2 linked regions of the Canis lupus familiaris genome follow. The main gene of each other region encodes a partner of the protein of the gene in region 2 in a complex. Links are inferred from orthologs where the notes say so. Each region holds a gene or a part of one and is shown on either strand. Other genes may lie near its edges. The genes, in order: ZBTB8OS and FAM98B.

Evidence for each region.
Region 1: FAM98B (region 2) and ZBTB8OS share a complex: the UniProt entries of both Homo sapiens proteins name them as parts of the tRNA-splicing ligase complex. The link is inferred for Canis lupus familiaris from reciprocal best matches to the Homo sapiens genes FAM98B and ZBTB8OS.

What each region holds. Positions count from the first base shown.
Region 1 is NC_049223.1:68,053,130-68,057,558, reverse strand, and holds the start of ZBTB8OS (protein archease), read right to left. Parts: upstream 3,019-4,429; 5' UTR 2,904-3,018; intron 2,844-2,903; exon of another isoform or gene 2,580-2,843; 5' UTR 2,393-2,579; coding exon 2,260-2,392; intron 1-2,259. Other genes in the region: histone-binding protein RBBP4, read left to right, coding at 3,142-3,157, 3,739-3,886. UniProt on the Homo sapiens protein: Component of the tRNA-splicing ligase complex required to facilitate the enzymatic turnover of catalytic subunit RTCB. Together with DDX1, acts by facilitating the guanylylation of RTCB, a key intermediate step in tRNA ligation.
Region 2 is NC_049251.1:6,096,998-6,100,814, reverse strand, and holds part of FAM98B (protein FAM98B), read right to left. Parts: intron 3,330-3,817; coding exon 3,151-3,329; intron 22-3,150; coding exon 1-21. UniProt on the Homo sapiens protein: Positively stimulates PRMT1-induced protein arginine dimethylated arginine methylation.

The sequences.
Region 1 (4,429 bases), on a different chromosome or scaffold from region 2:
AAAAGCAAAAAAAAACCTCTTCTTTTCCAAATGTACTACAAGAAAACAGGAGAGTTATTTTATATCAGAGTGGGCAACGCCTTCCTAAGTATAAATTCCCAGAAGCCTTTAAAGGGTTAATAAATTTCACTATGTAAAACTAAATTTCTACAAAGTAAAAAACAAAACAAAAAACCCAACAGAAAAATGGGTTAAGAATATGAACATACACATCCTAGAAGGGCACATACAAATAGCTCCACACATACGGAAATATGTTCAACCTCACTTATAATAAAAAGAAAGCAACTAATATGACAAGATATTTAAATTGGAAGAGACCCAAAAGGGGATCCCTGGGTGGTTCAGCGGTTTAGTGCCTGCCTTTGGCCCAGAGCGTGATCCTGGAGTTCCGGGATCGAGTCCCATGTCGGGCTCCTGGCATGGAGCCTGCTTCTCCCTCCTCCTGTATCTCTGCCTCTCTCTCTCTTTCTCTATGTCTATCATAAATAAGTAAATAAATAAATCTTAAAAAAAAAAAAAGGGAAGAGACCCAAAAGTATGGTTATGCAGCAAATAGGTAGAAATGTGCGGAAAGAGGCACACTCATACAATGCTAGTCAGAGTATAAACTGGCACAACCTCATTGGAGATCAATTTAGCAATAACTGCTAAGATTAACAATGCAGGGCAGCCCTGGTGGCGCAGCGGTTTAGCGCCGCCTGCAGCCCAGGGTGTGATCCTGGAGACCCTGGATCGAGTCCCAAGTCAGGCTCTCTGCATGGAGCCTGCTTCTCCCTCTGCCTGTGTCTCTGCTGCCTCTCATTCTCTCTCTGTGTCTCTATGAATAAATAAATAAAATCTTAAAAAAAAAAGATTAACAATGCACATATCCTTTGACAAAGCAGTTTAACTTCTGTAAATTTATAGATACACCTGTACGTGTGCAAAACAATGAATGCGGAACAGGGATCCCACCTGTTGTACTTTTTTATTCAGATATATCAGATACAAGCCTTATTAAAAATAATTTTTAGGGGATCCCTGGGTGGCTCAGCGGTTTGGCGCCTGCCTTTGGCCCAGGGCGCAATCCTGGAGTCCCGGGATCGAGTCCCGCGTCAGGCTCCCGGCATGGAGCCTGCTTCTCCCTCCTCCTGTATCTCTGCCTCTCTCTCTCTCTCTCTATGTCCATCATAAATAAATAAATAAATCTTTAAAAAATTTTAAAAAATAAAAATAATTTTAAAAAATTGTTGTTAAGGGGCATCTGCCTTTGGCTCAAGTCATGATCTAGGGGTCCTCTCATGCTTGCCTAGGCCTTCCTGCTCAGTGGGGAGTCTGCTTCTCCCTCTCCATCTACCCCTCCCCCATTCTCTTCTCCCCATCCACGTGCTCTTTCTGTTCCAAATAAAATCTTTTTAAAAATTTGCTTTTATGAGAAAAATAAAAGGGTTCATTCATAACCTAGTATGCCATAGTAAATAAACTACAGAGAACAATGGAAAATTAATAAGATTTTAGAGTAGAAAAATAGAAGTCAGATTTGTGCTCCGCAAACCATAGCAATCTTTAGGGATGATAGCTAAATGTTTAAATAGAAGATCAGAATATGTACTATACTTTTGTGTTTACTATTATCTCATTTACTCCCCAGTTAAGGAACTATGGTGCCATGAGAGATTATATAACTTGCCACAAGTTATGAAGCTGTTCATGGCAAAACCAGGTCTTTTTTTTTTTTTTTTTTTTTTTAAAGATTTTATTTATTTCTTCACGAGAGACACAGAAGAGAAGCGACTCCTCGCAGGAGCCGGAGGCGGGGCTTAATCCCGAATCCCGGGATCACGCCCTGGGTTGAAGGCAGACGCCCAACCGCTGAGCCACCCAGGCATCCCCAAACCAGGTCTTTTTACTAAAAGCACGATCCAGGTAAAACACCAAATTACATGTCCCCTACTCAGCTAAGTCCTCTAACCTAATGATACTCTAACCACCCCACTGTTGGGAAACACATACGGGCGACCACCCGGCAAATGCTTGAAAATACGTTTATCTTTAGAATGAAGACACTGGTAAAATTCCCACGAGGTAATGGGACTAGGTAAATGTAGAAAGAATTCAAGGAACCATAAAAGTGGCAGCCCAGTTTTCTGACTCTCAGGCCAGGTGGCTGTTCCCTTCAGCACTCCCGGCTGAAGCACCTCAGGGGCAAAGCGGAAGGCGAGACCGGAAGACCTGGGCAAGGCGAAAGGGCATGAGAGAAGTGAGCCATCTACTCACACTCGTACTTCCGAATGGCTGGAGGATACTTGGCCTTGATCGCCTTCTGCTCTTCAGTCAAATTGTAATCTCGAATATCTTCCTCTTCCTGCGCCATAATTGCCGCACTGGACACTCTACTTCCGCCCTTCATTAGCTGGACTTCAGCCCTGATTTACAACTTCCGCTCTAGACTCCGCCCCTTGGCACGCGCCCTTAAAGCACCAGGACCCCATTCTCGCAGATAGACTTTATATGGTTAACACTTCTGTCCTAGGACTCGCTGCCGGAAGCACATCTTTAATAGGCTTCGGCCCTATTTCTGCGTTTCTTCATCCGTTCTAAGAACAAAGGAAACATACACACTGGAGGACGTGGGAGGAGGGAGACACTTTAGAACTAAATACCCGCTTGTCTGGGTGGTGAGAAGCCTTTTCTTTTTACCTCACAGAGTCGATAACTACACCCGAAGCCACCCTAGATTTCTCATCTGAGTACTTTTAAAGTGTCGGGAGCTGCACAGCTTTTAAGAAAATGGCTGCCCCCTGGAGAGTGCGGACTAAACCTCTCACGTGACCCGACGCGCGCACTCCCACCGGGTCCGCGCGCGCGCAATCGTAGGAAGTCGGCTCCCGGCCGTGTCGGGGCAGGGGAGGGGCGCGCACCTCGGCACCGCAGAAAGCGACTCTGCGCGTCTGGATAGGCTGCAAACGCGGCTTCCCCGCCCACCCCGCCGTTCGGGACGCTGCGATTGGCCGGTGTTGGCGCGAAGGTGCGCGAGTAGGCCCTCACGCAGGGGCAGCAGGAAACAATAGAGGCCGCGCGCGCAGAGCGAGCGCCTGTAGCCTCCCCGCCCCTCCCGCAGCGCTCGACCCCGGGATCCCCCCGGCTCGCCTGCCCGCCATGGCCGACAAGGAAGGTAAGGGCCGCCCCGGGAGGGCGGGGGGTGCCGGGCTGGCGCCGCGGCCTCGACAGGGCCTAGCAGTGAAGGCAAGCCCGACTCTTGAGTGCTGTCCCCACCATCGAAGGCGTGAGGAGAAATCGCCCCGCGGGCGGGCTAACGGCGCGCCAGTTCCTCCGACACGGAGGCCGGTGGCCGCGGTGTGGAGCTGGTGGGGGGGCCCCGGCGGGTGTTTGGGCCCTCCCCGCGCTCGCTGTCGGCCTGCCCGCCTCTCGCGTTCTGCGTGCGCTGCTCCCTACCCCGGGGGCCGGTGCGCGGGCCTCCGCGCGGGTTCCGTCGATTCAGCGGGAACGCGAGCGTGCTCCCGAGGCCCGGCGCCGGCGCCCGAACAGCTAACGGGAGTGACGCGCCCCGCTAGCCCGAGAGTAATTGCGGGCCCGCGAGGCGGGGAGGGGTGCAGGTCGCTCCGCCTCGGGGACATTTAGACATATCTGCTCCATTTCAGAATCTTGACTTAATAAGCAGTGCCGGTAGCTTTGGAAGCGTTGGCTCGGTTTCCATTTGTGTTCGCTAACTTAATTTGTTTTTTAACTTTTTAGCAGCCTTTGATGACGCAGTAGAGGAACGTGTGATCAACGAAGAGTACAAAATATGGAAAAAGAACACCCCTTTTCTTTACGATTTGGTGATGACCCATGCTCTGGAGTGGCCTAGCCTAACTGCACAGTGGCTTCCAGATGTAACCAGGTGATGTGAATCTCTTGAACGTTATCTTGTGTCCTCCTCAGCGTTGATTTCTCACGTTGATTTTTCCGTGTCTTCCCCCAGTCACCCGAAGAGGGCACGTAATGATAACCTATGGGTGATGTTTTTTTCCTAGGCCAAAAAATAATACAAAATGTAAAAATAGTTTTGCAATGTACCTGATAAGAGAAAACTTGTTTTCTTTTCCTGATAACGAATTGAATAGCCTGTTATAATTACAGTTGGAAAATAATGTAAAATGTGTCAGTTTTCAAAAAAAGCTATGATTTCAGTTCTTTCAGCAAAATATTTGAATTGTAGGTAGTAGCTGGTTAATATAAAGAGGTATATGACATGGTACCTGCCTTCAAGGAGCACAAGTGTAATTGAGGCCCATGTAAACTAATAATTACAGTAACCTATGCTAAAAGCAGTTTTACAGAGATACTTAGGATATTTAGAACTAAGAACTGAAGATGGGGTGGTTTGGGGGTTTTATATAAGGGAATTATGCATAGTGAGAGAGAAATCACATGTAGGGAAGGT
Region 2 (3,817 bases):
TTTTGAGAGAATATCTTTCACCTAAAAGTAAATATAGAAGATTGTGAAAATGTATATATCTAATTAAATAATCTTATTCTTTCTTAACATGTTGTTTTAAATGTTAAAGTGAAATAACTGAAATATAACTTCACATACCAGGAAAGAATATCACCACAATGAAGAGTATCTTTTTCAAAGAAGCATTAGCTATATGAATTCAAACTATAGCACACCTTTTCCAGAGTAAGAAATAATGTACACAGATGAGTATAGAAAGTAGTTACTGAAAGGTTTTACTATGAAAATCTGTACAGACTTATGTAAAATAATTTTGGGAATTTCTCCTTGAAATGGCACACTCTTATCCACACTCTTATACACATTCCAATTCTAAGCATTCTGATTCCACTGTTCAGCAAGACAACAGGAAAGCAAGCCCTCTAAATTATAGCCACCACATACACATTTCATTACTTTTCCAAAGCCACTAATTTGAATTACTGCCAACACTTTTATTTTAGTGAAAAAGATATTAGACATTTGTCTTTGCTTTCACGATATCAGCCATTCCAATAACAGTAATTTATCCTGAAGAAAATGACTGAGAAATGATAGCCTAAGTTGGGCTCACCCTCCTAACAGAAGTAACTTGATTATCTAAAGGCAATTTCAAAGCCAAATGGCCAATGGCCTATCTACAGTTGCTTAGTTATAAGGTAACTAGGGAAAATAATCAAGAGATTTTTGAGGAACATGAAGCTTATTTAATGTCAGGAGCACTCTTTAAGAATTAAAAATTGTGACCACAGGGACGCCTGGGTGGCTCAGCGGTTAAGCGTCTGCCTTTGGCCCAGGGCATGATCCCAGGATCGAGTCCCACATGCAGCTCCCCGCAGGGAGCCTGCTTCTCCCCCTACCTGTGTCTCTGCCTCTTCCTCTGTGTCTCTCATGAATAAATAAATAAAATCTTAAAAAAAAAAAAAACAAAAAACTGACCACAAAATTAGCTTAGAAACTGGTGGTGGTGATGGTGAGTGACTATAAATGAGCATAAGGTTTCTTTTGAGGGTGATGGAAATGTTCTAAAATTCAATTTGGATGATGGCTGTACTCTCTAAATATACTAAATATAATTTAAAAATACTAAAATTTATCTATTTTGTGTGTGAATTTTATGATATGTGAACTCTATCTTCAGAAAGCTGTATTTTTTTTTTTTTAATTAGCTTGGAAAGAACTCCTGCAAATGAGTGGCCCAAAGCTTAAGTTTTATTAGTTTCGTGGCCAAGTCAGCCTGTTCAACAATGATACAATTCTCACATATTGTTATTATTTTAAGATATTCAATTTCTGTAGATTTCCCAACTATTGTACATACCTCCAACTTTGATCATTTCATATATTACTAAAAGTATGAGTTGTAACCCCTCACTCAAGAAGGATTCTGAAGGCATACTTACAGTTTCTTACACATAATCACATCCAGCTCCATTCCCAGGATTTCAACATTGGACAAGTTTTAGTAAGTTTGAGAATTAAACTCAAATAGAGAGGGCTAAAGGCACACACTCTGGAGGTTGCCTATATTCAAATCTCAAGTCTACCACTACTACTCCAAAACATACTTGTCCCATTTATTAAATCTTTCAGTACCTCAGTCTCCTCATATGTCTGTTGAAGATAATAGTAGTAACTACCTAATCATACATAAATATATATGATGGAAGAATTAAAAGTTATTACATATAAATATTTAGAACAGCAAATACCATATTTCTGCCACTAATATTACTATAATTACATTAGATTCACATTTGAACACCTTCAAGTTAAAAAATAATTTTCTTCCCAAATGATGACAAAGTGTATTCTGAACACATCACATGTACAATAAGGAAATTTCTCCTTTTGATAGGAACTGAGGGGAGAAAAAAAACCTTTTTAGGTAAGTATTTGGCCACAATGACCATAGTAACAACTATCTTATAATTAACCTGCCAGCATTTGAACACAGGCATTATGGCCTACTTCAGGTAGGCAAACCAGAGGTTTGGAGATATTTTTAATACTGAGACCCATAAAAAGGAAAAGCCTCTTTAGGATCAATATATAGAAGCACTGGAAGATTAGAAAGAGCCTAGAAATCTGTCTTAATTTGAAATTACCCCAGACAATTTAGCCAATCCCAGATCATTCTTAATCCAGACAAAAAGAGAAAATAAGTACTGAAGAGAAACTTGTTAATTCCAGAACAATGTTTTTGGGCAATTCACAGAATTTTTCTTTGGTCTGCAGGTTCCACAAAAAGAAAAAATGTTTTTTAAACTGTGTTTTCATTTTAATGATACCAAAATTCTCTTATGTTCAATGAAGACAAAGCTTTTTATTTTTCAGTTCATAAATTATCAAAGCACAAGTATTTTATTTAAGGATTTTGTATAACACAGCATGTCTAAAAATGGCTTTTAGTACATATTCTTAAGAGCAAGAATGTTTTCCTTTAAAATGAATCCTGTATTATTCTCCTAGAGGACTCCTAGGAACCAGGCTGAATTTGGTGTGCAAGAGTAGCATTCTCTCTAATTTATTAGTGGCTCAACAGTCAAGAAGGGTAGTTTAAGAACTAAAGAGAAAATTTCAAAAAGTTTATAGTTTGTGGTTGTTTCTAACTACAGCAGGGTACTCATTCATTCAATCTCTAAACAACGAACACTTACTAAACACCTATCCACTAGAAACTGTGCTTGCTCACTGCCAAAGACAGCCATATTACAATTCTATTAACAATATTCTTTTTTTTTAACAATATTCTTTTTTAAAAAATATAGTTTGCCTTTGACTTTGAAGATTACTCTACTTCTTTCATTATACTACAGTAGAACTTTATTTAGGAAAGGGATCCTTTAACTTGCAAAGTGATTTCTATCAAAGAAAACTCAAAAAAGTCTAAGGGCCCTCACTCATTAAGATCAGATTCCTGAACATTAGCTATAGGCAAATTAAGTCACATGCATATTAATTCAAAATCCAAAATTTAGTTAACAGAAGATAAAGTTCTCTTGAAATGGAACGTACCTTAAAGGAAATATTTTCATTTTTAATACAATATTTATTTATATGTTAGTATTTAATTCCATTTTGAGGAAACAAAAAAAATAAATACAGTACCTTTGATTCCACTTGGTTTAGCATAAGCGGAATGTCAGAAGTTGCTGACTTGGGTACACCAAGAGTATCACAGATAGCTTGAACTTCTTGATAAATTTCACTGTTTTTATCTAATTGAGAATTTTTACGTTTCTTATTCTGCAGTATCTGTGAAGCTTGAAGCTCTGTACTTAAAAATACTATGATAAAAAAGGGAAAAATATACTGTTAAAATATAAAAGAACTTAAAAATCCACTTTTAGGTATATATCCAAAGGACTTGAAATCAGGATTTCAAAGAGATTTGCACTGCTATCCCTTTGTAGTAGGACATAGTGCCCTTCAACAGATGAAGAAAATGTGGTATATACACACAATGGAGTATTATTCCGCCTTAAAAAAGGAAACCCAGCCGTGACTACATGGATGCACCTGGAAGACATTATGCAAAGTAAAATAAGCCAAACACAGAAGGCCAAATACTATGTGATATCACTTTTATGAGGAGCCTAACACAGTCAAACTCACAAAGCACAGAGGAGAATGGTGGTTTTCAGGGGCTGGGGGAAGGGAAAAACTGAAGTTATCAAATATAAATGTTTACAAAACTGGTGACATTTTAATAAGGTCTCAAAATCAGAGGGACCTGGGAAAGTACTCCTAAGCAAAGTCTGATACATTTTGGTCA